3 linked regions of the Pelodiscus sinensis genome follow. The protein of the gene in region 2 interacts with the protein of the main gene of each other region in a pairwise test. Links are inferred from orthologs where the notes say so. Each region holds a gene or a part of one and is shown on either strand. Other genes may lie near its edges.

Evidence for each region.
Region 1: the proteins of UBE2I (region 2) and SETX interact in binary tests that used the Homo sapiens proteins (3 or more experiments, as listed by UniProt). The link is inferred for Pelodiscus sinensis from reciprocal best matches to the Homo sapiens genes UBE2I and SETX.
Region 3: the proteins of UBE2I (region 2) and DDX39A interact in a two-hybrid assay, tested with the Homo sapiens proteins (3 studies listed by BioGRID, with this or other methods). The link is inferred for Pelodiscus sinensis from reciprocal best matches to the Homo sapiens genes UBE2I and DDX39A.

What each region holds. Positions count from the first base shown.
Region 1 is NC_134732.1:15,270,001-15,280,150, forward strand, and holds the start of SETX (putative helicase senataxin), read right to left. Parts: upstream 4,467-10,150; 5' UTR 4,299-4,466; intron 1-4,298. UniProt on the Homo sapiens protein: Probable RNA/DNA helicase involved in diverse aspects of RNA metabolism and genomic integrity.
Region 2 is NC_134726.1:41,415,675-41,426,196, forward strand, and holds the start of UBE2I (SUMO-conjugating enzyme UBC9), read left to right. Parts: upstream 1-6,409; 5' UTR 6,410-6,520; intron 6,521-6,727; exon of another isoform or gene 6,728-6,911; intron 6,912-10,522. UniProt on the Homo sapiens protein: Accepts the ubiquitin-like proteins SUMO1, SUMO2, SUMO3, SUMO4 and SUMO1P1/SUMO5 from the UBLE1A-UBLE1B E1 complex and catalyzes their covalent attachment to other proteins with the help of an E3 ligase such as RANBP2, CBX4 and ZNF451.
Region 3 is NC_134729.1:10,430,834-10,441,721, forward strand, and holds the start of DDX39A (ATP-dependent RNA helicase DDX39A), read right to left. Parts: upstream 4,467-10,888; 5' UTR 4,334-4,466; intron 3,026-4,333; 5' UTR 2,989-3,025; coding exon 2,781-2,988; intron 2,003-2,780; coding exon 1,875-2,002; intron 1,522-1,874; coding exon 1,429-1,521; intron 1,010-1,428; coding exon 826-1,009; intron 285-825; coding exon 166-284; intron 1-165. UniProt on the Homo sapiens protein: Helicase that plays an essential role in mRNA export and is involved in multiple steps in RNA metabolism including alternative splicing. Regulates nuclear mRNA export to the cytoplasm through association with ECD.

The DNA of each region.
Region 1 (10,150 bases), on a different chromosome or scaffold from region 2:
ACCCAGCTCTGAAGGCAGCACCCAGCCAGCAGTAACGCAGAAGTAAAGGTGACAATATGATATACCACACCACACTTATTTCTGCATTACTGCCTTCTGAACTGGGTGGCTGTTGATTGAGGGCCCAGCTCCGCAGGCAGCAATGCACAAGTGTGGCAATACAATACCATCCTATCCTTATTTCTTTGCTTCTGGTGGTAGCAGTTCTGCCTTCAGAGCTGAGCTCCCGGCCAGCAGCTGCCACTCTCCAGCTGCTCAGTTCTGAAGACAGTGCCAACAGCAGCACAGAAGTAAGGGTAGCAGTACCATACACACATACATACTATTCCTATTGGGGGTCAGGACTAGGGATGTAATAGTGTAGTCGATTAACCCATTAGCAAAAGCTTATAGGTTAATGCTTTAGACTACACATATTCCACACACACACCCCGGGCCAGTAAATTTTTTAGTAGGTTGGCCAGCAGCCCAGCTCAGTTCTGGCTCACGCCAAATCCAGAAGCTCATCCCCAGGAGCTGTAGCAGAGGCAGCAGCATTGGGCGACAGGCAGCTGGTCCGTGAGGAGAACTGGTTTTTAAACTGGCTCTCCTCACAGATCAGCTCCCACCTGGCAGCAGCATGGAGTGGCAACAGGCTCCTCGGGAGTGGGGCCAGAGCACACTGGCTGCTGGCCCCACCCCAGATGACTATAGAATAGTCGAGTAACTGATAAGAATACATTAGGTTAATTGACTATTCAATTAACTGATATGTAACATCCCTAGTCAGGACCCCTACAATTACAACACCATGATATTTCTGATGTGAATAGCTGAAATCATGAACATTTACTATTTAAAAAATTCTACGACCTTGAAATTGACTCAAATGGACTGTGTCAAATAACCAAAGCTTATGCAAGCTTAAAAATCAAAATATTATTGGTCAAAGATTCAACAGCACAATACAGAAACAAATGACCTAGTCTCGAGAACAGATTTTGCAGAAGTTATGTCTTCATGCTGTTCCAACGCATTAACTCAATTCTACTTATATTTATATCCCTGTTTATCACGGACAGGAAATGCCCCCAAATTGTTTTATTTCATGAGACACCCTAATCTTACTTTTCTGTGCTGTTTGCAACTGTTGTCCAAGGTTCTTGGATATCTGTTCCTAGTTAGTTAAACAATATTGCAACAATTACAATAGTTGCTTATTACTTAAAAAAGCCTAAGCAAAATCACAGAACACTATCTTGTCCTTGATGATCTGTACATTGCTAAAAATAAAAGAGTACACAGTTTCTAATACATTTCCAGAACCAAGTGTGCTGAAAGTAATAAATTAAGCATAGATACATATCTTTCAATAATACATTAATTTTGACTAGGTAATTTTGTCTAACACTTCCAACTGAAAGTACTCCACCACTCCCAATGTTTAAGAGTTGTATTTTTTTGATCGGTCAAGACATATAGCAAGATTCTAGTAAGCATGTATGACATTTTCCTATTTAAATGCTCAACCTTAAAATTAAAGCCAATTTTCTTCAAATTTGTTCTGTTCTTTCTATCTCAATGTATCTACAAACCATGCTAAGCTCATTATATTTGAAGTAATTGACTTAACCCACGTACAAAATTTCTGATTGAAAACTTTAAAGTAGTACACCCAAGTTGGTTCATTTTTCCCCAAAAATAGATTAATTCACCTCCAGGTCGAGAGCAAGCCATGAAAACTTTACCACCTCAGGAATTAGCTTTAAAATTCTGAGCAAAGAAAAAGGATTAGAATAGAAAACAGATTCAACCATAATCATATATAAAAACTTAACACATATAGTGTACTGCATGTTCAAGCCATTATAAAAGTACTAGCTAATTAAGTCTCAGAATCATATAAGACAGAGATATCCCAATTACACATTGTTTACATGCAAGCAGCTTCCTTACAGTGTAACCAATTACTCCACATCATTGGAGATGCTGCCTAACAGTTATTAAAGGTACTTCAGCAACAGTTTTACAATTACTTCAAAATATCTAAATGCCTCCAGTTAGCAGTAAGCCTGCCCCACAGGCTTAAGACAACTTCTATGGCTGTGGTATCCAATAAGTTTTGAAGCAGTAGCCACTACAGTAGCTACTGCTATAGCGAACTAGCCACACTCAACCGACCAAATAGCTGCTAGTGGCTAGTGTGTTGGACACCACAGTTCAATGGGATGGGCTCATAAGTGTTTCAGAAAATGTCATGTCTGTCCACACAAAGAGTATGAACCATGCAAGTGTATGCTTGCTGGGACTGCTGCCTCTGGAATGCCTGGTAAGTCTCTGCCAATTCAAGGACAAATGAAAAGTCTGGTTTGGAGAGAGTGATACCTGACCCCCAACTACAGGGAAAGATATCCCATTTTCTCTTCCTTGGGAAGGAAGGCAGGAAAAGGGATGTAGCTGTGAAAGAACAAGGAAAGTTGGTTTGTTTGTTGTTGTTTTTGGCAATTGGAGTCCAGAGGGTAATGTTTGTATATGTTTTCGACAAAAGGAGGAATTCTATCTACTAAGGATTCGGATTTGAGCTGACCTCTTCTCAAGCCTCTTCTCCACAGACATGTAGAGTTAAGAAGTAAATTTTTCTACTTCTCCAGACCTCCATCACACTTTGTTTTAGCATGATGGCGGTCTGGAGAAGTAGAAGAATTTACTTCTTAACTCTACATGTCTGTGGAGAAGAGGCTTGAGTGTAATAGAGAAAGGGGCAATTCCCATGCTGCAGATGGCACTGGCCGGAGAGGGCTGGTAAGGGAGCTGCGTCCATGCTTGGAGGGGGGAAGGCAGTTTCCATTCTTTGGGGGCACTCACCAAGCGAAGCTAAGGCAAGAATAATCTCCAGGCATGGGGGGGGAGGGCTGGAGCCGGGCAGGGTGGGCTGGGGTGGTCTCCAGGTCCTGGGGATACACATGACAGTGGAGAGCATGGGGGTCAGGGACAAGAGGGGTCTCAGGAAGGGGGGGGGAGAAGGAGGGAGGTAGGCTGGCAGGGGACAGTCTCCAGGCTCTGGGAGCGCTGCGGGGGGAACTGGGGCAGTCTCTAGGGGCACTGGCCGAGGACGGGGGGGGGGGGGCAGGCTCCAGGCTCTGGGAGCGCTGGGGGGGGGGGGGGGAGACTGGGGCAGTCTCTAGGGGCACTGGCCGAGGACGGGGGGGCAGGCTCCTGGCTCTGGGAGCGCTGGGGGGGGGGGGAGACTGGGGCAGTCTCTAGGGGCACTGGCCGAGGACGGGGGGGGGGGCAGGCTCCAGGCTCAGGGAGCGCTGGGGGGGGGGGGCTGGGGCAGTCTCTAGGGGCACTGGCCGAGGACGGGGGGGGCAGGCTCCTGGCTCAGGGAGCGCTGGGGGGGGGGCTGGGGCAGTCTCTAGGGGCACTGGCCGAGGACGGGGGGGGGGGGCAGGCTCCAGGCTCAGGGAGCGCTGGGGGGGGGCTGGGGCAGTCTCTAGGGGCACTGGCCGAGGACGGGGGGGGCAGGCTCCTGGCTCTGGGAGCGCTGGGGGGGGCTGGGGCAGTCTCTAGGGGCACTGGCCGAGGACGGGGGGGGCAGGCTCCAGGCTCAGGGAGCGCTGGGGGGGGGGGGGGCTGGGGCAGTCTCTAGGGGCACTGGCCGAGGACGGGGGGGGGCAGGCTCCAGGCTCAGGGAGCGCTGGGGGGGGGGGGCTGGGGCAGTCTCTAGGGGCACTGGCCGAGGACGGGGGGGGCAGGCTCCAGGCTCAGGGAGCGCTGGGGGGGGGGGGGCTGGGGCAGTCTCTAGGGGCACTGGCCGAGGACGGGGGGGCAGGCTCCAGGCTCAGGGAGCGCTGGGGGGGGGGGGGGGCTGGGGCAGTCTCTAGGGGCACTGGCCGAGGACGGGGGGGGGGCAGGCTCCAGGCTCTGGGAGCGGTGGGGTGGGGGCAGTCTCTAGGGGCACTGGCCGAGGACGGGGGGGGGGCAGGCTCCAGGCTCAGGGAGCGCTGGGGGGGGGGGGCTGGGGCAGTCTCTAGGGGCACTGGCCGAGGACGGGGGGGGGCAGGCTCCAGGCTCAGGGAGCGCTGGGGGGGGGCTGGGGCAGTCTCTAGGGGCACTGGCCGAGGACGGGGGGGGGGGCAGGCTCCAGGCTCAGGGAGCGCTGGGGGGGGGGGGGCAGTCTCTAGGGGCACTGGCCGAGGACGGGGGGGGGCAGGCTCCAGGCTCAGGGAGCGCTGGGGGGGGGGGGGAGAGACTAGAGCAGGCTCCGATAGGCGCGGCGGCTTCTCCTCTTTCCCTCCCCTTAAGCAGCGCCCCCTCACCTCCTCCCACCGCCAGCCTCCGGGCGCGGGCTTTGCTCTACTCCGCCACCATGGCCCCGCTGGGCATCCAGCCAACGCTCCCCTCAGGCCGAACCCAGGCGGCCGCCTCCCCCGCCCCGAGTTCTCTTCACTTCCGGCCGGCAGGGATGTCTCGGCCGGAAGTGAGTTTGTTTTTCCTCCGGGGCGGGGCGGGGCCGGGCGCGCACCGCTCGAACCTGACGGAACTCCGCCCGCGGGCCTGCGAGCGTCTTAAAGGGCCAGCGGCCGGCTTGGCGGGAGGCGCCCAGGGAAGGGTTCCATAGGTCAGTGCCTATGAGCCGGGTTCCATTGAGGTCAGCGCCCGCCAGCCTGGGTGAAGCCGGGCCGCTTCCTGGCAATGGGAAGTGTAAATACATGTGTGGGGATGCACTTGAACCTCCCTGTGCCTCGGTTTCCCCACCTGTACCTTAGGAATAAGAGCTTTGCCTCCCAGGCGTGGGGCGCCTCTTTTGGCAGCTTTGCCCCCACTAGTGCAACCCCCAAATGTTCAAAAAACCATGAGTCCGGCTCACCAAAAATCAAGAGACTGGCTTAAAAATGACAGGACTGTAAATATAATAGACGGGGTGTTATTTTTATTTACCCTCTGCTTCTGGAGCCTATAGGGTGCTCTGGGGTCAGAGTTGGAAACTTTCTTCACAGTCACAGAGGCTAGAAACTTTTTTTTTTTTCCTTTCAGAAAAATGAAGTTTCTAGCCTGCATGACGGTGGGGGAAGCTTTAGTCATCACATATCCACTGGGCTCCAGGAGCAGAGGCTTTAAGGAAACCAGTCACCATGGCTGTGTCTAGACTGGCAAGTTTTTCCGCAAAAGCACCTGCTTTTGCACAAAAACTTGCCAGCTGTCTATTCTGGCCGCTTGATTTTGCGCAAGAACACTGACTTTGTAATGTACAAAATCAGTGCTTCTTTTGCAAATACTTTCATGCTCCTGTTCGGGCAAAAGCCCTTTTCCGGAAATGCTTTTGCGCAAAAGGGCCATTGTAGACAGATAAAAACTGTTTTGCGCAAAAAAGCCCCGATGGCAAAAATGGTGATCAGGGCTTTCTTGTGCAAAACCGCGTCTAGATTGGCACTTTTCCGCAAAAAGTGCTTTTTTAAAAGCATTTGCGGAAAATCATGCCAGTCTAAACGTAGCCCATGGGATTCATGACAAAATTAAGAGAGTTAACAACAATGTTGTGCCCTCCCCCCTAACTACTGTACTGGGACAAATCCAGACATAATTTATCTGGCAGCAGACAGGGAATTTGCTGTTTAAAACAGACTGCTCCATCACCACCAGTGCATATAATACATATGAGGTCATGTCACTCCCCCACTACAAAGACTTTAACAACACTCTGTGACTGTGGAGAAATTACAGCTAGCAGCATCTACATGCTCTTACCAAAAATAGGAACACTTATGCTATGTATACAGTGCCCGTTTTGCACAAGAAATATGCAAATGAGACTAAGCGTGGAATATCATCGAGCCTCATTTGCATATGAGCACCAGCAAGAGGCTTTTACGCAAAAAGCGGGTGCTCATTAATTATGCATTAATTATTAAAGGCACAGGAAGAAACCATCCCAATGCGCAGCAAGAAAAGCAAATATGGTAGGCGACCAGATTGGCTTACTGGGGAAATCCTTCGTGAGCTTAAACACAAAAAGGAAGCTTACAAGAAGTAGAAAGGCCTTGTGTTCCCCTGGCCTTGTGTTCCCCTGAAGCAGGGGTGGGGCAAAGGGCAGCATGGCTGGTTACACTGGTGCTGGCCCACACACTGCCCAAGCCCCATGTCACCCTGAAGCGCGGGGCCCTCCCTAAAGCACGAGGTGCAGGGAAACTGCCCTGAACAGTCCCTATGAATGGGACAGCTCTAAAGCAGGTAGAATTATAGAACACTACAACTGGACCTTGAGAGGACAGGACTCAGTACCATTTAGACCAGTGTTTCTTAAACTTTAAGACTGAGGAACACCAAGCAATATTTTTTCTTTTATGAGGAACACCAAGGATTTTTTGTTGAGGGAAAAAAAGTCAGGGGACATTATTGAGAAAAAAAGTGCCTGCCCCTAAACCTTCCTGGCTGCAATTTAAGCCCATTGCTTCTTGACCTATATTCAGGACAAGGAGAACAATTTTTCTCCACCTTCTTGTAACACCCTGTAGATTCTGTCGTACCTCGGTGTTCTGTACCTCGATACCTTTGGTGGTCTGAACTGTCAATGTCAGCATCATCTGGTCAGGGTTGTCCTGGCATGCTCCTGACAGGACCTCTACTCCATTGATGATGATAAACTTTCGGCTGTGTGCGTAACAATCAATACTCCCTTTATCTAGAGTGTTAGACCCCGTTCACTTGGGTCAACACAGGAGATCTCTGAGAGGCCCTGGAAATGACAGATGCAGGCAAGGTTTGAAATCAATCAAGCAGGTTTATTGTCAAATGTGAAGCTCTACCAATTGGTAACAGAGATCGGTACAATGTTACACCACTGGGCACTATGGCCCGCGTTAACAGGGTATAAACACCGGGCAGGTCTATTGCCGTGTATCAGATATTAACAGCAGTTAGTCAAAGTTAAGCTACTGTGCATTTTGTAAGTTTAGGCAATGACATCTGCCGTTCAGGCACCTAGTGTGCCCGCCCTCTCTCCCCCAAGGTTGGCCGGAGAGCACCCTTTGCGGTGTCCTTTTATAAACAGGTACAAACAACTTACATACTTCTTTATGTACCAGGTTGCCACCCTCTGTTGCCTAGTTACCACCCCTCACTTTATGCAAGGGGGGCTTACCTTCTATATGTCATCCTGTCATTTCCGACCTGGTCCTGAACCTAGGTTGGTATGAGCCTAACTCATAGGGAGTTCTTGTACCAGGACATTCCTTAAGATGTTCCGTTACTCCCTTTTGGCTTACAGTCTGTACTTGGTGCTTCCCTGTGTCCTTCCATGCTTCACCTAACTTACACAATTACAGTTATCAGTAGGGCCTCAGTCTTGGCTCCTGTGTTACTGAACCAAAGTCTTGCTCACTGGATTACAGGGCTGTTGCTGTTTTCATGTTACAGGCTTCTATTTAGGCCTGTTGACTCCATGTTACTGAACCTCAACTTACTACAGATACTTGAAAATTGCTATTATGACCCCTCTCAGTTTTCTCTTTTCTAAACTAAAGCCCAGTTCTTTCAGTCTTCCTTCATAGCACATGTTTTCTAGGCCTTTAATCATTTTTGTTGCTCTTTTCTGGATCTTCTTCAGTTTCTCCACATCTTTCTTGAAATGGGGTGCCCAAAACTGGTCACAATACTCCAACTGAGGCCTAAACAGCACAGAGTGGAAGAATGACTTCTCGTGTCTTGCTCACAACACTCCTGTTAATCATGGTTGATTTTTTTACAACAGCGTCACACTGTTGACTCATATTTAGCTTGTGGTCCTCTATCACCATTAAATCCCTTTCAGTAGTACTCCTTCCTCAACAATCCCTTCCCATTCTGTATGTGTGAAATTGATTGCTCCTTCCTAAGTGGAGTATTTGCATTTGTCCTTATTAAACTTCATCCTATTTAGCTCAGACCATTTCTCTAGTTTGTCCAGATCATTTTGAATTTTGACCCTATCCTCCAAAGCACTTGCAACCAGCTTGGAATCATCTGCAAACTACTTTTTATGCCATCATCTAAATCATTGCCGGAGATATTGAACAAAACCAGTCCCAAAACAGACCACAGAGGAACCCCACTTGTTACGTCCTTCCAGCATGATTGTGAACTGTTAATAACTATTCTTTGATAACAGTTATCCAGCCAGTTATGCATCCACCTTATAATAGCCCTATCTAGGTTGTATTTCCCTAGTTGATTGATAAGGTCACACTAGCCCATGTTAAATGCCTTACTGAAGTCTAGATATACCACATCCACAGCTTCTCCCTTATCCACAAGCCTTCATATCCTATCAAAGGAAGCTATCAGATTGATTTGACATGATTTATTCTTTACAAATCCATGCTGGCTGTTTCCTATCGCCTTATTTTCTTCCAGATGTTTGCAGATGAATTCCTTAAGTACTTGTTCCATTATCTTCCCTGGCATAGAAGTTAAACTGACTGGTCTGTAGTTTCCTGGGTTGTTATTATTTCCCTTTTTATAGATGGACACTATATTTGCCATTTTCCAGTCTTCTGGAAACTCTCCCAACTTCCATGATTTTCAAAGATGTTGGCTAAAGGCTCAGATACCTCCTCTATCAGCTCCTTGAGTATTGTAGGATGCATTTCATCAGGCCCTGGTGACTTGAAGACATCTAACTTTTCTAAGTAATTGTTGTCTTGTTCTTTTTTAATTTTAACTTCTAAACCTACCCCATTTCCACTATCATTCACTATGTTCGGCATCCCGTCACCTTCAGACTTCTTGGTGAAAACTGAAACAAAAAAAGTCATTAAGCACTTCTGCCATTTCCAAATTTTCTGTTCTACTTTCTCCCTCTTCTCTGAGCAATGGGCCTACCTTGTCCTGGGTCTTCCTCTTGCTTCTAATGTATTTGTAGAATGGTCTTCTTATTACCTGTTATGTCTCTAGCTAGATTTAGCTTGTTTTATGCCTCTTCCTTTGTAATCTTGCCCCTGTATACCTGTGTTGTTTGCTTATATTCATCCTTTGAAATTTGACCTAGTTTCCACTTTTTATGAGACTCCTTTTTGATTTTTAGATCATGTGAGATCTCCTGGTTGATCCAAGGTGGTCTCCTGCCATACTTTCTATCTTTCCTACACAGTGGAATAGTTTGCTTTTGAGCCCTTAACAATGTCCCTTTAAAAAACTGCCAACTCTCTTCAGTTGTTCTTCCTCTTAGTCTTGCTTCCCATGGGACCTAACCTATCAGCTCTCAAGTTTACTAAAATCTGCCTTCCTGAAATCCGTTATCACTATTTAGCAGTTCTCCCTTCTACCACTCCTTAGAATCATGAACTCTATGATTTCACGATCACTTTCATCCAAGCTGCCTTCCACTTCCCAATTTTCAACCAGTTCCTCTCTATTTGTTAAAATCAAATCAAGAACAGCTTCCCCTCAGTAGCTTTCTCAACCTTCTGAAATAAAAATGGTCTCCAATGCAGTACGAGAACTTGTTGGATAATCTGTGCCCCACTATGTTAGTTTCCCAACCTATGTCTGGATAGTTACAATCTCCATCACCACCAAATTCTGCACTTTGAATGATTTTGTTAGTTTAAAAAAGCCTGATCTACCTCTTCTGCCTGGGTAGGTGATCTGTGGTAGACCCCTAGCATGACATCACCCTTGTTTTTTTACCCCTTTTAACCTAACCCAGAGACTCTCAACAAGTCTGTCTCCTATGTCCATCTACACCTCAGTCCAAGTGTATACATTTTTAATATACAAGGCAATGTATGCATATGTATTATATGAGGAACTTGTAATAATGCCCAATCCTGTATTTCAGAACTATAAAACTACATTCCTCCATCAAAGTCCTGGATCTAACTTTCCCAGATCCACCATAGAGACTAAAAACAATTAGAAAACAAAATCTGTCCACTGCCCCTACATGGGAATGTGCAGATCCAGGGACAGAGGAGCATAAATGTGTGGATCAGGGACAGGCACGATTTGGCCCACCAGTCTGCCAAGCGTTTGAATCTAGCCCACAGCCTGCCCCACTGGGACCCTCAGGCAGGGAACAGCCCCAGATGACAAAGGGGCTGGCTGCTCCATGTGCCTCTCTGTGCCCACACCCCAATTCCCTGTCCCAGGTACCCTCCTGCTCCAGGTCACAATCCAACCCCCTCTGGCCCAG
Region 2 (10,522 bases):
AGAGGTTCATTAGTGTAGCTAGGACTGTGCAGACTGTGAACACCTTGCTCTCCTTTTTCCTTTGCACCAATATTATGAAAAGACATTTGTAAGGAAACTGCCCCATTTAATAATTGTTTGAGATTCTGAGAGTCACTGAATATGTGCTGGCTCTTGCCAATCTCTTCTAGGTGTGCTGCAAGAATGCAGTCAGTGACTTGCCAGGGCCAATTAAAAAACAGTAAATATTTCAACATCTATAAAACAAGCTTGCAGGTCCCCATAAGTTGCAGATGCAGTGCAAGTAAGTTGTAATTTTATACACCTGGTGCCCCGAGTAACATGATAACAGCAATAGTTTGTTAAAAAAAATAGTGCTTTGAGGTTCAGAGTTTTGGTACAAAAACACATGCGTTTGGGATGGATGCATTTTCAGAGCTTCAGTGTTCAAAGGAAGCTGCCTTCCTGTCAAATGAGTTGGTAGCAGACTGTAGACAGAAGATTGTGGTGCGACAGCAGCCTCTAGTGCACCACTCTGACTATGCATCTTCAGGAAGAAGCGCGAGTAATGCTGGTCTCTCTCTATTGCTCTTAAGCGGCAGCAATAGTGTAACTATTAGCCCATAATATGTATCTATGCCTGCTCTGTATCCAAACAGATACCACCCATTCGTAGAATCCTAGAGCTGGAAGAGATCTCAGGAGGTCATCGAATCCAGCCCCCTGCCCAAGGCAGGACCAATCTTAACTAAACCATCCCAGCCGAGACTTAAAAAGCTCTTGGGATGGAGATTCCACCACCTCCCTAGGAAACCCATTCCAGTGCTTCCTCACCCTTCTAGTGAAATAGTTTGCCTAATATCCAACCTAGACCTCTCCCACTGTAACTTGAGATCATTGGTCCTTGTTCTGCCACTTGTCACCACTGAGAACAGCCTTTCTCCAGCTTCTTTGGAAACTCCCTTCAGGAAGCTTCCAAACCGTTACAGGACCGCTTGGGAATAGTGACCATAATATACTAACATTCAACATTCCTGTGGTGGGAAGAACACCTCAGCAGTCCAGCACCCTGGCATTTAATTTCAAAAAGGGGAATTACACAAAAATGAGGAGGTTAGTTAAACAGAAATTAAAAGGCACAGAGACTAGAGCCAAATCCCTGAAAGCTGCATGGAATCTTTTTAAAGACACCATAATAGAGGCCCAACTTAAATGTATACCCCAAATTCAAAAACATAGCAAGAGACCTAAAAAAGAGTCTCCGTGGCTTAACCACCATGGAAAAGAAGCAGTGAGGGACAAAAAGGTATCTTTTAAGAAGTGGAAGTCCAATCCTAGTGAGATAAATAGAAAGGAACATAAACACTGTCAAATCAAGTGTAAAAATGTAATAAGAAAAGCAAAAAAAGATTTTGAGGAACAGCTAGCCAAAAACTCAAAAAGAAATAAAATGTTTTTTAAGTACATTAGAAGCAGGAAGCCTGCTAAAAAATCCTGTGGGTCCCCTAGACGATCGAGCTGTAAAAGGAGCAATCAAGGACGATAAAGCCATTGCGGAGAAACTAAACGATTTCTTTGCTTCAGTCTTCACGGCTGAGGACGTTGGGGAGATTCCTGAATCTGCACCATCCTTTGTGGATGATGAATCTGAGGAACTGTCCTGGATTGAAGTGTCATTAGAGGAGGTTTTGGAACAAATAGAAAAACTTAGGCTACGTCTACACTGGCCCCTTTTCCGGAAGGGGCATGTAAATTTCACCAGTCGTCGTAGGGAAATCCGCGGGGGATTTAAATATCCCCCGCGGCATTTAAATAAAAATGTCCGCCGCTTTTTTCCGGCTTTTAAAAAAGCCGGAAAAGAGCGTCTACACTGGCCCCGATCCTCCGGAAAAAGTGCCCTTTTCCGGAGGATCGGGGCCAGTGTAGACGCTCTTTTCCGGCTTTTTTAAAAGCCGGAAAAAAGCGGCGGACATTTTTATTTAAATGCCGCGGGGGATATTTAAATCCCCCGCGGATTTCCCTACGACGACTGGTGAAATTTACATGCCCCTTCCGGAAAAGGGGCCAGTGTAGACGTAGCCTTAATGTTAACAAATCTCCGGGACCGGATGGCATTCATCCAAGGGTTCTAAAAGAACTCAAATGGGAAATTGCTGAGCTATAATCTGTGGTTTGTAACCTATCCTTTAAATCGGCTTCTGTACCTGATGACTGGAAGGTAGCCAACGTGACACCAATATTTAAAAAGGGCTCTAGAGGCGATCCTGGCAATTACAGACCGGTAAGTCTAACTTCAGTACCGGGCAAATTAGTAGAAACAATAGTAAAGAATAAAATTGTGAAGCATGTAGAAGAACATAATTTGTTGGACAAAAGTCAACATGGTTTCTGTAAAGGGAAATCCTGTTTTACTAATCTGTTAGAGTTCTTTGAAGGGGTTAACAAACATGCGGACAAGGGGGATCCAGTAGATATAGTATACTTGGATTTTCAGAAAGCCTTTGACAAGGTCCCTCCCCAAAGGCTCTTGTGTAAATTACATGGCCATGGGATAAGAGGGAAGGTCCTTTCTTGGATTGAGAACTGGTTAAAAGACAGGAAACAAAGGGTAGGAATAAATGGTAAATTTTCAGATTGGAGAGGGGTAACTAGTGGTGTACCCCAAGGGTCAGTCCTGGGACCAATCCTTTTCAACTTATTCATAAATGATCTGGAGAAAGGGTGAGGTAGTAAAGCAGTGAAGGTACGTCTACACTACAGCGCTAGTTCGAACTAACTTAGTTCGAATTAGTTAATTCGAACTAAGCTAATTCGAACTAACGCGTCTAGAACTAAAAACTAGTTCGAATTAGCGTTTTGCCAGGTACAGGGTCTGCTGGCTGGGTGCTGGCAGGCTTGCACCTGGCACGGGCACCGTAGCCAGCCCGTGCCCCTTTAAGGGGTCCGGGGCCGGGAGGGGGGCATAGAGTTTCCCTGGTGTTGGCCAGAGTGGCCACCAGGGAAACCTGGGGAGGGCTAGCCTCCCACTAGTTCGAATTAAGGGGCTACACACCCCTTAATTCGAACTAGCTAGTTCGAACTAGGCTTAATCCTCGTAAAATGAGGTTTACCTAGTTCGAACTAAGCGCTCCGCTAGTTCGATTCAAATTCGAACTAGCGGAGCGCTAGTGTAGCGCCTATTAAAGTTAGTTCGAACTAATGTCCGTTAGTTCGAACTAACTTTGTAGTGTAGACATACCCTGGGGTAGTAAAGTTTGCAGATGATACCAAACTGTTTAGGATAGTCAAGACAGAAGCAGACTGTGAGGGACTCCAAAAAGATCTCACCAAACTGAGTGATTGGGCAACAAAACGGCAAATGAAATTTAATGTGGATAAGTGTAAAGTAATGCACATCCGGAAAAATAACCCCAACTATATGTACAGTATGATGGGAACTAATTTGGCTACGACAAATCAGGAAAGAGACCTTGGAGTTATCGTGGACAGTTATCTGAGAACTTCCCCGCAGTGTGCAGCGGCGGTCAAAAAGGCAAATAGGATGCTAGGAATTATTAGGAAAGGGATAGAAAATAAGACCCAGAATGTCTTACTGCCCCTGTCTAAAACTATGGTACGCCCACATCTTAAATACTGTGTACAGATGTGGTCTCCTCACCTCAAAAAAGATATTTTGGCCTTGGAAAGGGTTCAGAAAAGGGCAACTAAAATGATTAGGGGTTTGGAACGGGTCCCATATGAGGAGAGGTTAAAGAGACTGGGACTTTTCAGTTTAGAAAAGAGGAGACTGAGGGGGGATATGATAGAAGTCTGTAAAATCATGAGTGGTGTGGAGAGGGCCGATAAAGAAAAGTTATTTATTAGTTCCCTAAATAGAAGAACTAGAGGACACCAAATGAAATTAATGGGGAGCAGGTTTAAAACTAATAAAAGAAAGTTCTTCTTCACACAGCGTGTAGTCAACCTGTGGAACTCCTTGCCAGAGGAGACTGTGAAGGCTAGGACTATAATAGAGTTTAAAGAGAAGCTAGATAATTTCATGGAGGTTAGGTCCATAAAAGGCTATTAGTCAGGGGATAAAATGGTGTCCTTGGCCTCTGTCTGTCAGAGGCTGGAGAGGGATGGCAGGAGACAAATCGCTTGATCATTGTCTTCGGTCCACCCTCTCTGGGGTACCTGGTGCTGGCCACTGTTGGCAGGCAGGATACTGGGCTAGATGGACCTTTGGTCTGACCCAGTACGGCCGTTCTTATGTTCTTATGCTATCAATGCCAATTCTCTTCCAGAATATGATGTGAGGAAGTGGGTCTGGCCCATGAAAGCTCATCACCTATTAAACCATCTTGTTAGTCTTTAAAGTGCTACATAGTTTTTCCTTTTGTTTTAGCAAGATCAGACTAACATGGCTACCCCACTATTACTATCAAATCCCCCTTCACTCTTCTCTTCTGCAGACTAAATAAGCCCAAATCCCTCAGCCTCTCCTTGTAGACCATGTGTTCCAGCCGCCTCCACAGGATCCTCTCTGGTACATCCACATCCTTTCTATAGTGAGGTTGGAAGGGGGGGCAGAACTGGACACAATACTCCGGATGTGGCCTCACCAATGCCAAATAAAGGGGAATAATCACTTCTCTAGATATGCTGGAAATGCTCCTCCTAATGCCGTGGTCACCAACAGGTTGATCACATCAATTGGTCAATCGCAAGGCCTGAACCAGTCAATCGTGAGGCAACCGGGCCTCACCCCCATTTTCCACCCACCCCCCGAGAAGCCCCAGTACTCACCTCCAGCGAAAATGGAGGTAGTGCCGGCTTCCCGCGGGTGGATGGAAGTCCCGCAGCTTAGTGCCACTTCCGGAAGTGCGCTGGCTGGTTTGCCAGGCGCGCTGTGGGAGGGGCCCTGGGTCCGGAAGAGGAGCACGGTGATTTCCCTGCACCGGCGCAGGAGGTGTGAGTTGTCCCCGGGGCAGGCGTGCGCAGGGTTTCCCTGCATCATGGGGAAAGGGGGGGGGAGTGTGTTTTGGCCCCAGGCCAGACGAACGTGGCACCCTGTTCCCTGCCCCAGAACCCACTAGCACCCCTCCCCAGTACTGTGTCCCCTGCTCCCGACTGACTTTTCTATGCTTCAGGGTCATGCTGGACACTGTCTCTGCCCTCACAGCATCATCATCTGCTACTCAGACCTGAAGCCTCTGCAACTGCCCTAAGGAATCCTCTCTTGCTCACTCACTCCCCTTCTCCCAATCAGACTCTGATGTAGGTACAGTACTGCACTTCTAGTCTTCTATTCCTGCTGATTCCATCTTCTCTCCTCCTGCTTTTCCCTCTTTATCCTTAACGAGCAACACTGCATGTGATGCCTCCCATCGACATCCTGCCCTCACCTAGCTCTTTCCCATCCACTTTCCTTTCCGTTTTTCAACAGACTAATCCTTTCTTACTTCAGCTTCAGTATTGACATCATGTCAAGCCCTTTAGCTGTCTATCTCCCCTCCCTCACCTCTTCATTCAACCTGCTAGTCTCCCACTCATGAAACAGCCACTCTTTTGTAGTGAAGCACTGGAATGGGTTATTTAGGGAAGTAGTGGAGTCTCCATCTCTAGAGGGCTGTGTCTAGACTGGCCAGTTTTTCTGAAAAATCAGCTGCTTTTCCGGAAAAACTTGCCAGCTGTCTACACTGGCCGCTTGAATTTCCACAAAAGCACTGACTTCCTACTGTAAGAAATCAGTGCTTCTTGCGGAAATACTATTCTGCTCCCGTTTAGGCAAAAGTTCCTTTTGCGCAAAGCTTTTGCACAAAAGGGCCAGTGTAGACAGCTCAGAGGGGGGAGGTGGGCGTGTGAGCGGGGACTGATTGTGAGCAGAGGGGGAGGTGGGTGTGTGAACATGAGTGATTGTGAGCAGAGATGGGCGTGTGAGTGGGGACTGATTGTGAGCAGAGGGGGAGGTGGGTATGTGAACATGAGTGATTGTGAGCAGAGGTGGGCGTGTAAGCAGGGAGTGATTGTGAGCAGAGGGGAGTAAGTAGGGGAAATGACTGTAAGCAGGGGTGATTATCAGCAGGGGGAGTGATTGTGAGCAGAGGGGGGAGGGGGAGTGATTGTGAGCAGGGGGAGTGATTGTGAGCAGAGGGAGGAGGGGGAATGATTGTGAGCAGGGGGAGTGATTGTGAGCAGAGGGGGGAGGGGGAATGATTGTGAGCAGGGGGAGTGATTGTGAGCAGAGGGGGGAGGGGGAATGATTGTGACTGTGAGCGTGGACTATGGAATAGACCCAGCCCACACCGGTCGGCCCACGTGGGGAACACGCGGCGGGGTGGACCCGCACGAGACGTTCTGGGGACCCCCCGCCAGTCGCTGGGCAGAGCAAACACCCCTTGTGACGTCACAGGAATCCAGGCGCCACCGGCCTCTGCACACGACACTCGTGGGAGCCAGGCAAGGGGACCTATCCCGCCGAGCCCCGCCCCTTCGTGGTGCTGCCGAAGGCCCCGCGCGCTTTCCAGTCCGCCGCAGTCTTTGCCGCAGAAAGGCGCAGGTAACTAACTCAGTGCCTGTAGGAACGATCCACCCAGGGGCTCGTGGGAGCGGGAGTGGGCCCGGCAGGAGCAGCTGGGAGGCGAGGCACAAAGGGATGGAGGGAGACGGGAGGGAGGCCACAGCAAGCCTCCCTCATGGGCCGCTCGGGCTCCGTACAGGCCACCTAAAGGCCCTTTGTCCTCGACGGGTCGGCTTGAGGGTCATACTGCGCCGGCGCAGAGGGACAGACGGGTCGGACTGAGGGACATACCACGCTGCTGCGCTCCGCACCGACCAAGGAGGGAGGGAAAGTCCGGACCAGAGACAAAGGGGGGAGCCGAGTCGGGAACATCCGGGTCACTCGCTGCCGCCTCAATCCGGGACACGCGCGGGTGCTGCGGCCGCTCACGGTGAGGCCTGGCCGGGCGCGGGCCGGAGGGCGGCGGGCCCGGGAGCGGGCCCTGGGGGCGTTCGGGCTCCGGCCCTTGCTCCCGAGCCGCCTTCGCTAGGCCCGGCGGCCTCGTCCGGCGCGGGGAGGCGGGAGCGGGGCTGCAGCCGGGCCCGAGCGCCGCGTACCTGGCCCCGCCTCGGCCTGTGCCCCGTGGTGCCCGGCGGCTGCTCCCCGCGGCCTGTGGGCAGCCTCGGCGACTGGCCCTGTTGGGCCCCGGGGCAGGGAGCGCGGCGCTGGCGGCGGTTGTCAGCGCGGCCCGAAGGCTGGGCTGCGAGGCACTCGGCTTGTGGCAGGCTCGTCACCGGGTAACCCTCGTGGCGGCTTTATGTAGGCAACGCCAGACACCCCCTTTTCTGCTCTCCTGCTTTTATCGCCCAGCCTTGTCCTGGCTGGGTCCCCTCTTTCGGCTGGGTCCGCTCTTCCTAGAAGCAGAAGCTTTTCACTCTTTGGACAAATTATTCATCCATGTGTTTTAGCACAGACGGAATCCTTAGCTTCTTAAAAGGGATGTGTAGTTGTATAAGGCTTGCTGTGTTAAGCACTTTAATACTACTATTGTGCTGTGGGCTAAGTAAGAATTGTTAAAGGTAACTAAGATGATCACCCTTTTGTTTTGCCTGTAACTGCTCCTATGAACCCTCATTTAGAGTATCGTATGCAAGTCTAATCACTGTGCCACAGGAAAGATGCTGCTTTGAATACATTGCCTCACAGGGAGACAAACAAGCTATTGGCACCAGATAAGCTGAGTAGCCAGGGAAATGGGTAATGGGCTATGTTGAGCAATTCATCTTTCAGACCTAGGGTTTATATTCAACCAAAGTAGTAAGTGACAGGTCTTACCTGTGGGTGTTGTTTTATATATCTTACTTGAAACATGTTTGGATATCTCAATTCCATTCCTAGTGGACAAATATCAGCATAACAAAAAATAATTGCAGTGATTGGTGCTCTGTGGCAAAGAACTGAATGGAATGTGTAGGCTGACCTTTCTTAAGTTTTTAAGTGGCCTTTGAAGGCCTATGCAGTCTTCATGACAGACAGTTCAGTTGCTTTCACTAGTAACCTTACCATGCTTAGAGAAAAATCAGACTCAGCAGAATTTATTTCCCATGGGAAAAGAGAAGACTCCAGACTTGCAAAGTGTGAGATGGAATTGTGAGAAACTCAAAAGCTAGTAACTGTAACTGGAAAATCAGTTATTTTAGGTAAAACTGCTAGTGTAAAGAAAACACACATGGAACAGATTACTCGGGAAAGCAGATGAAGCAGAGGAGAAATGAGTGACACCCCTTAGATTTATTTTTAGGAGTGTTGAGTGAAAAAGCAGGAAGGAGGTCAGATTAGGAGATGCTGGAGGGACTCTTGGTGCCTTAGTGTATATCAGAATGCTCAATCTGTTAATCTTCTGTGTCGAACACCAACAGTGATGCAATCTGAGTGATAAATGCTTGTAGGTCCTTTCATGGAGGGACATTCACTGGAGGTTAGACAGTCGCCTGCCTTGTTCTCCTACTGCACAGTCATAAGGGGGGGGGGATCTGCGTTAATAAGTGGCTCTTGGATAGTCCTGTAGCTCTGTCATAATTGCAGTCAGTGGGTGTAAAAGAGAGGGCAAGCTTTAAATACTTTGTTTTTTTATCTTTAAGGTAATTGAAACATGGGGTATTCCATGTAGCAGTTAGTCACCAGAAATCATAGTAGCTGCCAAAGGCCTGCCACAAACACGCATTTGATTTAATAGATTTTTAAATAACCTGAGGTAGAAAATGGCATGTTTCCTATTCATTTTTTTTTTTTAAACTTTTGCACTCTGAACTTCGAGTATTTCATAGGGAAGTTGCTAAGATCAAAATGAGAAGATGCCAGAGAATAAGGAAAATTAGATCTCTATTTGCTTGCGACAATTTCCTATGATGCAAATAATACCTTATACTTTTTTGGCACTTTCTGTCTGAGGATTTCAATGTGTTTTACAGTTAATTTTACATTCTTTCGTAACTCAGATTTTCAGAAGAATAAAGAGGCAGAGATGAAAATGAAATAGTCAATTTTAATTGCATTATAAATTTGTAACCTTTATTGCCTATAGTTTAAATTACTTAAACTGAATTTATTTTAAATCTTCAATTTTACTTTCTTTGTTTACAAATGCTTGTCCAAGAGGAAAGCAATATATGAAGTAAACATTGAAAATCAATTAAGTATCAAAACATTTAGCTGTTTTCCTTTAGCTGTTTTCCATGATGTGAGATGCATCTGAAGAAGTGGGTCTTTGCCCACAAAAGCTTATGCTCCAATAAATCTCTTAGTCTGTAAGGTGCCATAGGATTCCTCGTCACGTGGGGTGGTGGTTAGGGTACGTAAGCTGTGAACAATGTTGAGGAATATTTAAATCTGCTATTGGAATTTTAAAGAGTCAACATGGAAACATTCTCTTAGGCATATATTTTATGAATGCTTTACCCCATCATTGTATGCCAAAGTTGTGTTGAGTCAGTTGTAAGTAAGTTGCCAAGGTCATCTGTGTTGTGGCATACCTGGGAATAAAACTCAGATCTAAAAAGTTGAGTCACAGCTCAATCACTAAACAACAGTTCTTTGATTCTTTGATTTTTATGCAACAAATGTTGTACTTCAGTATTTTCTCTGCACCTTTAACGAGAAACATAACTTAGACCCTCACTTGTCTAAAATCACATTTGGCAAATTTTTGTCTTGACTGAGTTAATTTTTGCAGAAAATTGTTCTTTATTTCTGCACATTTCTAGCTAGTCACTTGGAAATTATGTAGACTATGTACATTTACCTGTAAATAAGGAATTCATTTTTCTATTTAGATATTTATAGTAGCACAAGAGTATTCATAGAGCCATGTATAGTGTTTTTCTCTTGAGAATGAAAGATGTAATGTTTTTTGGTTAACTTTTAATGGGTTTTAAGGTAGAAAACTTACTACGTGCTATGAAATCCATTTTTCAGGTCTTCAGTTTTGATTATTCTGGAGCTAAAAGTAATGTGTACTGATGGAAATGAATTCTATAGCTTAAAAGTAAATTCAGAGCATAAGGGACTGTGCTTTCTTGTGAAATAATTAAGTCAGCTAATAAATAGCCTCACTTGATATATTTGTGTATATTATTAATTTTCAAAGCATGCATATTGCATTTTTCAGAAGAGGCTTAAGAGCTTAAATCTCATCAACTTTCAGTGGAACTTTGGCTCTGAAATGTTCATGTCTTGCTTACAAATGGGACTTGCACATGTAAGTCACTTACGTGCTTTTGAAAATGTTACTAAACTGTAGAAAGTACAGGATTCTATCCTCACCAAGCAATATTTCAGGGCTGTGATTTATTTTTTCCATATAATACTGATCTGAAATTATAGTAATGTGAAAGGAAACTGATTTATGTGAAATAATACTTGGCATTTAGAGCTTTATAAATATTAATTTAATTCTGCATGCTTCTATGAGATCCTTATTTCCATTTCTCTCAGGGAGTGTGGGGAGTAGGTAGATATACTTATTCAACCTAATACATTTGATTTTGATGTAAGTGGGATTTT
Region 3 (10,888 bases), on a different chromosome or scaffold from region 2:
TGCTCAGTGTAGGGGAGCTGACTAGGGTCCCCCACTAAGCCAGCAAGTGCTGGATGAGTTGCGGGCAGCCAGGCCACGAGTGTGGAGCCCAGCCAGGGGCAGGCTGGGTCTGAGGATTGCTCTTCTTGGAGGGACAAGGCCCATGGAGGGGGGTAGGCAACTCACGTCCTGCATGAACTTCCTGCAGACGGGCCGGATCTCCTTGCTGAGGGTGGCGCTGAACATCATGCACTGCTTCTCGTGGGGCGTGAGCCGGAAGATCTCCTGCACGTCCCGCCGCATGTCTGTGGAGAGGGAGGGGTCACTGCACAGGGACAGCAGAGGGACCACTCGGGGGAAGGCGCTGGGATCCATGCAAAGAACCAGCCTGCCGAGGTCACACCAGAGCCAGGTAGGCACCTCTAGGTCGCTCGATCCCAGACCGATCCCGCTACACTGAGTGTCTGCCTCCCTCTGCCCTGCCCCGCCTACAATACCAGCCTGGGCTTCAGACCAGCAGGTTCCAGGGACACACAACTGAGCTGCTCCAGGCCTGATCCTGATGGTCAGGCCCACTGCTTCTGCCTTGGAGGAAGGAGGTGCTCTCCACCCAAGCAGGTGTAGTAGGTTCTTACCCTGGTATGTAGTCCCAGCTCTGGGAGGGGAGTAGGGATAGAACCCAGCCTGCCCTGCTCTGACCACTAGACCCCACTCCCCTCCCAGGGCTGCGAGTCAGACCAGGAGTCACCAAATTGCTAGAGCATGCAGACAGCCCCTTGAGCTCAGGTGCCCCAGGCATGCCAAGCCCCTCCCCCTCCCCACACCCCAGTCCACCCCCCTTCTCACCAAGCTGCTCCAGCATCTTGTCGCACTCGTCCAGCACAAAGTGCTTGACGCTGCGCAGGTTGAGGCTCTTGTTGCGCACCAAGGCCAGGATGCGGCCCGGGGTCCCCACCACGATGTGGGGGCAGTTCTTCTTTAGCACCTCCTCGTCCTTCTTGATGGAGAGGCCCCCGAAGAACACCGCCACCTGCAGGAGACCGGGGGAACAGCAGGGTCAGCAGCCAGGCAGTAAACCAGAAGCACCTAGCACACCTGGGGCTAGGAGAGCACCTCCCCCTTTCAGTGGGGGAAACTGAGGCAAAGGAACCGGGATTTGTCCAAAGGCAGGTTAGTGGCAGAGCCTAGACTAGAATTAAGGAGTCCTGACTTCCAACCCCCACTCCGCTCCCAGAGCCGGGAGAGAACTCAGGAGTCCTGACCCACCCCACACAATCCGAGAGAGAAGACGGGAACAGCTTCCACATTCCACCCCTCGTGCCCTGCAGCCAGGCCAAACAGCACTGCAGCTCCACAGGGGAGCCAGCCTCATCCCCTGAGGGCATCCGAGGTGCTGGGGAGGGGCTCCCCTTGACGCAGGCAGCGTGGGGGGCCAGAGGATGGGATCACCTTGACGCTGGGCATGTACTTGGAGAAGCGCTCGTACTCCTTGCTGATCTGGAACGCCAGCTCCCGTGTGTGGCACATCACCAGCACGGACACCTGGGGGGAGAGACGGGGTCACCTCAGCACCCCATGAGACATCCTGCCTCTCCAGGGATGCAGCCCAACACCCCCACCCAGGAACACCCTCCTGGGGATGGACACCTCCCCCCTCTTCCAAGATTTGGGGAACAGGTGCCCCCCCTTTGCCCCTTCACAGGGATGAATGATCTGGGGAGACCAGACTAAGCTAAAGCATCAGGGGTCCACGTCGCCTTCCCTGCCCTTCTCTTGGAGCCCAGGATGTCTCTTCACCAAGTCTACCCCACACCTGGATAGGCAGCCCCAGGCCCCTTCCCACATGGAATGGGTCAGAGAGAGGGCTGCTCCCCCCCCCCCCCCCCAAACCATACCTGCCCATCCACCGGCTCAATCTGCTGCAGCGTGGCCAGCACGAAGACAGCCGTCTTGCCCATGCCCGACTTGGCCTGGCACAGCACGTCCATGCCCAGGATGGCCTGCGGGATGCACTCGTGCTGCACTGCGAGGGGAGGGCAGACACACGACAGTTAGATGGGGCGCAGCATGTTGAGGGGAGAACCAGGAGTCCTGACTCCCAGCCCGCTGCTCAAACCGCTAAACCCATCCCCCTCCAGCACTGGGGCATTAGGGTCACCTACTGAGACCCCACCCCCAGCGGCACAGGGCCCCTCAGTGCTGCACTGGGGCTGATACTGAGTGCCAAGGAGAGCGCTCCCTGCTTCCCCAATGCAGACAGGCCTGATGGACTAGTCGGCTGGTCACACCCCATCCCTTGCTGCCTCCATCAGAAAGAGGCAGCGGGGTGAGGGGAAAGAGGAGAGGGTACTTGAAAGCAGTAGCACCGCTTGAAGCCTGGGCCAGCTGGGGTATCCCCAGGCTCCCCGCAGCGTTTCAAAGCGGCAGCGCCACACAGAGCCCAGGGTCAGTGGGGGAGTTCCCAGCTGATCCCAGGCTCCACCTCCGCCTTTGAAGTGTAGCAACAGCCCATGGGCCCTAGAGCTGTTGCTACACTTCGAAGGTGGAGGCGCCCCATCGACTAATCGAATAGTCAATGCAAAATACATCGACTATTCGATTAGTCAGTCGCTATTGAACGTCCGTAGCCCCCAGTTGGCAGGGCAGATCTCAGGATCACACTCCTTTTGCTGACACCCCCGTATCCCCGCAGCTCTCACCAGGCAGCGCCGCTCTCTATGGCCCCCGCCCGCAGGTCCTCCCAGGCGGGCTGGCGAGGGGGTTGCGCTCCCAGGGGCCAGGGGCCTCGGCTCCGCTCCTACCTTCAGACGGGTGCTCGAAGCCACAGTCCACAATGGCTCGCAGGAGCTCGGGTTTGAGCAGGAAGTCCCGGAACCCTGAGCTGTGGATGGACACATAGGAGCCCTTCACGTCCTTCTTTGCTGCAGGGGGCACCGCGTCCGCCACCACCTGGGGCTCCTCGTCCTCCTCATAATCCAGCAGCTCGTTCTCCACATCCTGCTCCGCCATTCTGCGAGGAACGGGGCACTCGGGCTGCGGGGCTGCACTGAAGGTACCAACAGTGTTAGCACAGGGAGCTCAGGGTTTGGACAGGTCAGAACTGAGGGACCCAGGCCTGTACTAGGCTAGTAAAGGCTTCAGGCCAGTGCTGAGCCAACAGAGGTGGAGGGGAGCCCAGGACTTGCACAAGGGCTTTAGGTCAGGATGGAGACACACCCACAGAGCTGGGACGGAGATGAGGCTGGGGTAACAGGCTGCAGGTCAAGAGCGTGAGGCACGGGCAGAGCTGGGGTGGGGGAGTAACCCCAAACTTCATTAGCCCAGGGGCCTTGGGCAGGATTGAGGGCCATTGGCAGAGCTGGGAGTGGGGAGCCTGGACAGCCAGGGGAGTTGTGGGTCAGGATTGAGGGGCACTGACTGGGAGGCTATGGGTCAGGATTGAGGGGCACTAGATGGGACACTGGGTCGCTTGGGGAGGTGGGTTGGGGAGTCGGGATTATGGGGCGCTGGGGGGCCAGGGCTGGGGGGGCTGTGGACGGGCATTACGATACCCTTGCGGGGGGGGGGGGGTTGGGCTAGCCAGGTGGCTGGGGGGTCGGGGTTATGGGGCGCTGGGGGGCCAGGGCTGGGGGCTGTGGACGGGCATTACGGTACCCTTGCGGGGGGGGTTGGGGGGTCGGGGTTATGGGGCGCTGGGGGGCCAGGGCTGGGGGCTGTGGACGGGCATTACGGTACCCTTGCGGGGGGGGGGGCTGGGGGGCCGGGGTTATGGGGAGGCTGTGGACGGGCATTACGATACCCTTGCGGGGGGGGGGGTTGGGCTAGCCAGGTGGCTGGGGGGTCGGGGTTATGGGGCGCTGGGGAGCCAGGGCTGGGGGCTGTGGACGGGCATTACGATACCCTTGCGGGGGGGGGCTGGGGGGTCGGGATTATGGGGCGCTGGGGGGCCAGGGCTGGGGGGGCTGTGGACGGGCATTACGGTACCCTTGCGGGGGGGGCTGGGGGGTCGGGGTTATGGGGCGCTGGGGGGCCAGGGCTGGGGGCTGTGGACGGGCATTACGGTACCCTTGCGGGGGGGGCTGGGGGGTCGGGGTTATGGGGCGCTGGCAGAGCTGGGGGCCCGCGGGTCGGGACTGCGGGGCGCGGGAGGCGGGGCTACGGGCGGGATTAGGGGGCGCTGGAGGATCCGGGGGGGCTGGGGGCACGTGCCCCCCCCACAAGCAGAGCGGCCGCCATGGGCAGGCTCCCGGCCCCGGCCCCCCCCGTTGCCGGGCCGGGCGGGGGAGACGCGGCGCCGACCAGGCCGCAGCCCAAGCCCCGGGCTCGCGTGAGCGCCCCGCCCGGCCGCTCTCACCTCGCGCTCCCGGAGGCCGCTCACGTGGTACCGCGCTCCGGCTCCCACTCCCGCGCGGCGCGTCCTCTGCCGGCGACAGAGCGCTTCTTCCGCCTCCACTCCCATTGGCGCGACGCCCCGCCATTCCGGGCCGCTCCCTCCACTCTCATTGGTCTGCTGGAGGCCCGAGGCCCGCCTTACGCCGGAGTTAGCGGATGCCGCCAGAGGAACTGCCAGTCTATTGGCTGATAGAGATGTCCATCTTTGGAAGCTGCCTGTTGATTGGGTTAATTCATCTGCCAGTCAGCGCGCCCTTCCATCAGTTTCCTACGAGGGTAGCACTGCGGTCTTGAGAGAGGGAGGAACAAAGGGCAAGTGAAGCCTGGAATGAGACGCCATCTTGAATGGTGGCAAAAAACACACCATGAAGATGGGAAGGAGTGGGGCGCCATCTTAAGTGCTGGCAGGAGTAGTTATCTCTCCCCCTTCTTCTTCCAATCAGGATAAGCGCAGGGCTATGAGGATAGACACAGCTCAGAGGGATGGGCAGGGCTGCTGGTGGCCAGGGTCACTATGCCCATAGACTTGGCCTAGTTCACGTCTGGCCTCCCCAGCATCCCTTGGCAGTGAGTTCCGCAGGCTGCAACATTTTAAACCTGCCCCCCCCCCTCCGTCCATGTCATCTGGTCACCCCAGTTCTTGTGTTATAGGAAGGAGCAAATCTGTTAAGTCTCCACTTGACAAAGCCCTGGCTGGGTTGATTGAGTTGGGATTGGTCCTGCTTTGGGCAGGGGGCTGGACTTGATGACTCCTGAGGTCTCTTCCAGCTCTAGGATTCTATGAAATTCATTCAGTCTCTTCACCCCCGTCCTATAGCTAGATGCCCCTTCAGTGCTGTCTTTTCTACAGTGAACAGTCCTGGTCTCATGAATCTCTCCTCAACCCCCTGCCTTTCCCAATTCCAATATTTTGTTTTAGAGACGGGGTGACCAGAACTGCATACAGTATTCAAGATGTGGGCATACCAGGGAGTTATACTGTGGCTTTGTGATATTTCCTACTTTCTATCCCTTCCCTAATGGCTCCTGACATGCTGCTGTTTGCTTTTTTGACTGTCGCTGCACATTGAGTGCATGTTTTCTGAGAACTCTCCACAATGACTCCAAGATCTGAGTCTCACATGGTAACAGCTAATTTAGTCCCCAGCATTTTGTATGATTAGTGAGGATTCTTTTTTCCAACCTGCATTATTTTACAGTGATCAACATTGCATTTCACCTGCCATTTTGTTGCCCTGTCACCCAGTTTGGTGAGGTCTCTTTGTAACTCCCTGCCGTCAGCTTTGGACTGAGCCATCTTCAGTAGTTTTATATCCTCTTCTCCAAAGAGCTCTGATCGCAGGGTCCTACAGTGACCCTGCTATTTACCACTCTCCATTATGAAAACTGACCATTTATTCCTACTCTTTGTTCCTGTCTTCTGCCTAATTACTTACATGAGAAGGCCTTCTCTCCTCGTATCCCATGACTTTGCTGAAGGGCTTTCGCCGAGGGACCTTGTCAAAGGCTTTCTGAACATCCTAGTTCACTACATCCACTGGATCCCTTGGCCACATGCTTGTTGACCCATCAAAGAATTCTAGTAAAGTGGTGTGAGGCCTGATTGGCCCAGTCATCTCCAACAAGCCCCTCGGGGTAGCTCTACAGCCTCTCCCCGAGTTACGAACGACTTACGGACCAAACACTTGCCCATAACTCGATCTATTCGTAACTTGGACCCCATTGAGTTACACGTGACCGCGCTGTTCGTAAGGGGACCGCCTTTACGACCGCTCCATAGGAGCTTTGGAGCAAATGGTCATAACTCAACCGTTCGCAACTCGAGGAGCGGCTGTACTGTAGTACTGGGCTATACTCTGAGACAGTGTTTCTCAACCAGTGGTACGAGTTCCCTTAGGGGTACTCGAGAGAAGTCGGGGGGCTACATCAACACAACTGAAATTTGGAGAAAACTGAATTTTTGTTTTAAGTTGTACAGCGCTTTATTACTTTTGTACTTTTTACACCCAAAAATGTCATCACCCGCCCGGCTATGATTAAGTTTTTTAAACAAATGTGTTAAAATGGTAGAAAAAAAATTGTGTGTCTGAAAACTGTAAGCACTGGGGGTACTTATTTTTTTTAAGGGGGTACTTTATAAAAAAAAGGTTGAGAAACACTGCTCTGAGATACTGCAGGGCACACAAAATTCATCCCTTTTCTACAGCTGCTCCCTTCCCTTTTGTCTGAATGTTTTTGTCTCCCTGTCCTTCCAGGACTGGTCTGTAGCAGCCCCCATCTTCTCCCCGCCCTTCTCTGCACCACGCCTCTAAATGGAGTATTAACTGGTAGGGCACAATTCCTGCACGGTCCCATTTGCATCCAGGAAGAGGGAAATGCCAGGACAGTCATGGACATGAGACAGTGGTGGAGCAAAGCGAGTGACAGAGCAAGGGAACAAGGGTCTATGTAGAGACAGGCGCCCCATGGCATCGGGATCAATTCACATGGCTGTAGCATCTGTAGGTTTGCTCCAGCGGAATTGGGTCCCAAGAGGCTGCACTGTTACTGGAGTGTGATATGTCCGTACAGGTGATTGTTGCAACCACTGCTAGATGTTTGCACTAAATCTTGTATAAAGTGGGCCACGTGAGGTGTCTATAGAAAGCTAATGATTCGCTGATTCTGTTTATGCTATTTGTGGGCAGGTATCATATTTGTGTGTGTGTGTGTGTGTGTGTGTGTGTGTGTGTGTGTGTGTGTGTGTGTGTGTGAGAAAGGCTTCTCAGGTTGATTGGGACAATGAAGCATGGGAAGCACCAATTGCACTCAGTGGACTTTCCTGCAAACCTCCAATCTGGAATTTGGACCATGGTAGCTGCCTAAAAAGGACTGAGTCCTGCATGGACAAGGGCTGTGCTTAGGTGACAAACTGCATTTTGTAGCTGCATTTTCCCACTGAGAGCCATGAGCGTCCTTCATTGTGGCCTATGATATAAAAAGAGCCCTGGAGTTTGCAAATGAAGTGCTGATTAGCATTTTGTCACACTTCATTTGCATAATCGATTCAAACCGTTTTTGCGCAAGGGGTTTTTGCGCACAAACAAGCAAAAAGGGGTTTTTGCACAAAAAGGAAACGTCCACACTGCTTGTTTTTGCGCAAAAATCCCTTGCGCAAAAACAGCTTGAATCGATTATGCAAATAAAGCAGGACAAAATGCTAATCAGCACTTCATTTGCATACTCTCTGCTGGCAAAAGCCAGCTGTGTAGACAAAGCCCATTTGTCTTTATTCTAGCGTCTCACCTGTGGAGGGGCTTTGCTAGGAACTGAAGCTTGAAGGGATGGTTGACCCTTGAGTGGGTGTCTTCCAGAGACTTGATTTAAAACAGCAGATTATTCACCTCTGCTTCAAGCTTGCCCCAAACACTTTGCCACTGGTGCATGCATTTGATTCCTTTAAGAGTTGTAGCTCTCACCATTTCTTGTTATTGATAACCCTTTAGATTTTAGATTCAAAAGGACTGGCACAGCATGCTTTTTGGGTAATGTCAGTCTAACGCATGGCGACTCACCATGCAGCCTGCAGCCTGTTTGTTTGCGGTCCGCGGTGCGGTTTGGGTGTACACAGGGCTCAACATGTGGCTTGTGGGTGGGATCCTTTGAACATGGCCTCCACTGGGACATCATCCCTGCTGGGAATCCAGGATGGGGCTCCGGAGCACCTGTCCTTTTTTGCCTCTTGTGTCCGGCATGACTCGTCTAGCTCCCCTCCCACCACAGGTTGGAGCATTCTGGTTTGGAAACTTTTTCTGAGTGAAATCACTCTGAGAAGTGCACAACCTGAAGCTTCAAGCTAAACACGCAAAACACTGGGATATAACTTTTTCTTTTTAAAAGTTCTCATCAAAAGTGCGGTCATGTGGGTGGAAATCGGGTAAATATTGCATTTTATTAGTATCAGCAGAACAGACTTAAATGGGGCCTGCAAATCGTGTAGTCTTGCCTTAATCTTTGTATGCATCAGTGTGCACTTTGCACTTAATCAGTGTGAAAGAAGCTATTTGCGACTACACTTAACTTGCGGCCCTCAGCATGTGCTGGGAGTATTTTTGTGGCCCCCAGAGCTTCCAAAGTTGAGTAGCCCTGATCTAAAGTGAGCTGGGAATGTGGCTGGTCCTTTGCGGTCAGAAAACCCATTTTGATTTGGCGAGATTAGTTTTCATAACCTCTCATCTGTGCTTGGAGCGGTGCTGGTGGTGGCACAGGAGCACTGGAGTGTCTAAGGAAATTGCATGTAGGACTTCTTGCTGGCCAGTACGGTGAATAGAACTGCTCTTTGTGATTGGCTGGTGCCTTATAGTGAAGGACTCCCAGACTTAAGCTGTAAGTAGCTCTGTCTCCAAGCAATTCGCCCTGAATTGGCCCTCTCAGCAGTGCCCCCAGAAACTCTCGTGTATTACAGAGGCAGAGAAGCACCTGCAGCATCACCCTCTGCCCGGGACTGTTATGATGTCAGCACCCATCCAGTCGAAGACCAGGAATCTCCATGCACACCTCAGCCAGCCAGTCCCAGCAGTTTATGACATAATGACCTGGGTCCACTGACATTGAGGTAAGTGCTGAGTGCCAGGGAAGAGCGCCCCCTACTGATCCTTTCCACCCTGCTCCTTGCAGCACAGCGCCCCCTACTGATCCTTTCCACCCTGCTCCTTGCAGCACAGCGCCCCCTACTGATCCTTTCCACCCTGCTCCTTGCAGCACAGTGCCCCTATTGATCCTTTCCACCTGCTCCTTGCAGCACAGCGCCCCCTACTGATCCTTTCCACCTGCTCCTTGCAGCACAGCGCCCCCTACTGATCCTTTCCACCCTGCTCCTTGCAGCACAGCGCCCCCTACTGATCCTTTCCACCCTGCTCCTTGCAGCACAGCGCCCCCTACTGATCCTTTCCACCCTGCTCCTTGCAGCACAGCGCCCCCTACTGATCCTTTCCACCCTGCTCCTTGCAGCACAGCGCCCCCTACTGATCCTTTCCACCCTGCTCCTTGCAGCACAGCGCCCCCTACTGATCCTTTCCACCCTGCTCCTTGCAGCACAGCGCCCCCTACTGATCCTTTCCACCCTGCTCCTTGCTGCACAGCACCCCCTACTGATCCTTTCCACCCTGCTCCTTGCAGCACAGCGCCCCCTACTGATCCTTTCCACCTGCTCCTTGCAGCACAGCCTCCGTTACTGAGCCTCCATCTCACGCCTGCAGCACAGCGCCCCCTGCTGAGCCCGTACCCTGATCCCTGCAGCACAGCTCCCCTGCTGAGCTTCTATTTCGCTCCCTGCAGCACAGCACTGCCCCACACTGCACTATGGCACTGGTTTTAGAGACAGGCAGAAAAATGTTTTAGGATCCCAATGAAAACCTCCCCCCTGCTCCCATGCAGCCCCCTCTTTGAATAATCACCGGCATGGAGCCAACACAGGCCCCATGGATTTTCCCTCTCCCTTTGTTACATGAGCAGTGTAGATCTCATGTGGCCTGCGTTGGTTTGATGGTTCTTTGCTGCAGCCTCATGGGTGGGAGCCCATCTGGCGACTCTCTGTGCCAGAATCCCATATGCTCCCCCCTACGCAGGAATGTTGGGCATATGGTACAATGATGGGCAACGTGTAAACAGGGGGGATCCTTATCAAACGAAGCAGACAATGTGGATGTGGGTTGGGGAGGGAACTAACTCTATCATCAGGCTTTAAATATGTCTGCAGAGAAGGGATGTTGGTAGGGGGCTCTGTGCTGCAGGGAGCAGGATGGAGAACAGCAGGGGGCGCTAAGGGGCAGAGAGCAGGGCAGAGGCTCAGCAGGGGCCACTGTGCAACAGGGAGCCAGGTGGGAGACCCAGCAGGGGGTGCTGTGCTGCAGGAGGCAAGGCGGGGCTCAGCAGGGGGCGCTATCCCTGGAACCCAATGGCCCAGTTCAGTGCCTGTGGGCTCTGTGCTGCAGAGTGCGGGGGTCTCTCCCCTGGCTGTCAGTGCTGCCCCAGTACCCCACATGGTGGTGTGGGCAGCTGGGCGCTGTGACCTCACCCTCCCCAACTCTCTAATCTCCTGGGGCCAATGCAGCTACATCCCCCTGCACCCAACAATCTATACCCACCAAAATGGCACAGGTCCACCCATAGGTGGGCCACTTCTGGGAGGTGTTTCTGCCCAGTGTCACGGCAGGGGGCATCATATATTGCCCTGAAACTACCAAATAAACCAGGAAACCGGGTGGGTTAAAGAAAAAGACATAAATGGTGGGGCCCGCAGTAGAGGGGACTGGCCAGCAGAGGGTGCGGCTGCGCTAGAAAAGACTACAGCTGGGCAATGGGCGGGAATGCTCTGAACAAGGAAACTTGTATTTTGATGCTAGGGCATAGAGACCAGGAGAGGGAGAGGGGGGTGGGGGGGGGTGCGGGGGTGGAGGAGATAGATAGATAGATAGATAGATAGATAGATTTAAAACAAACAAAAGGAAGTATTTCTGCACACAATGCACAGTCAACC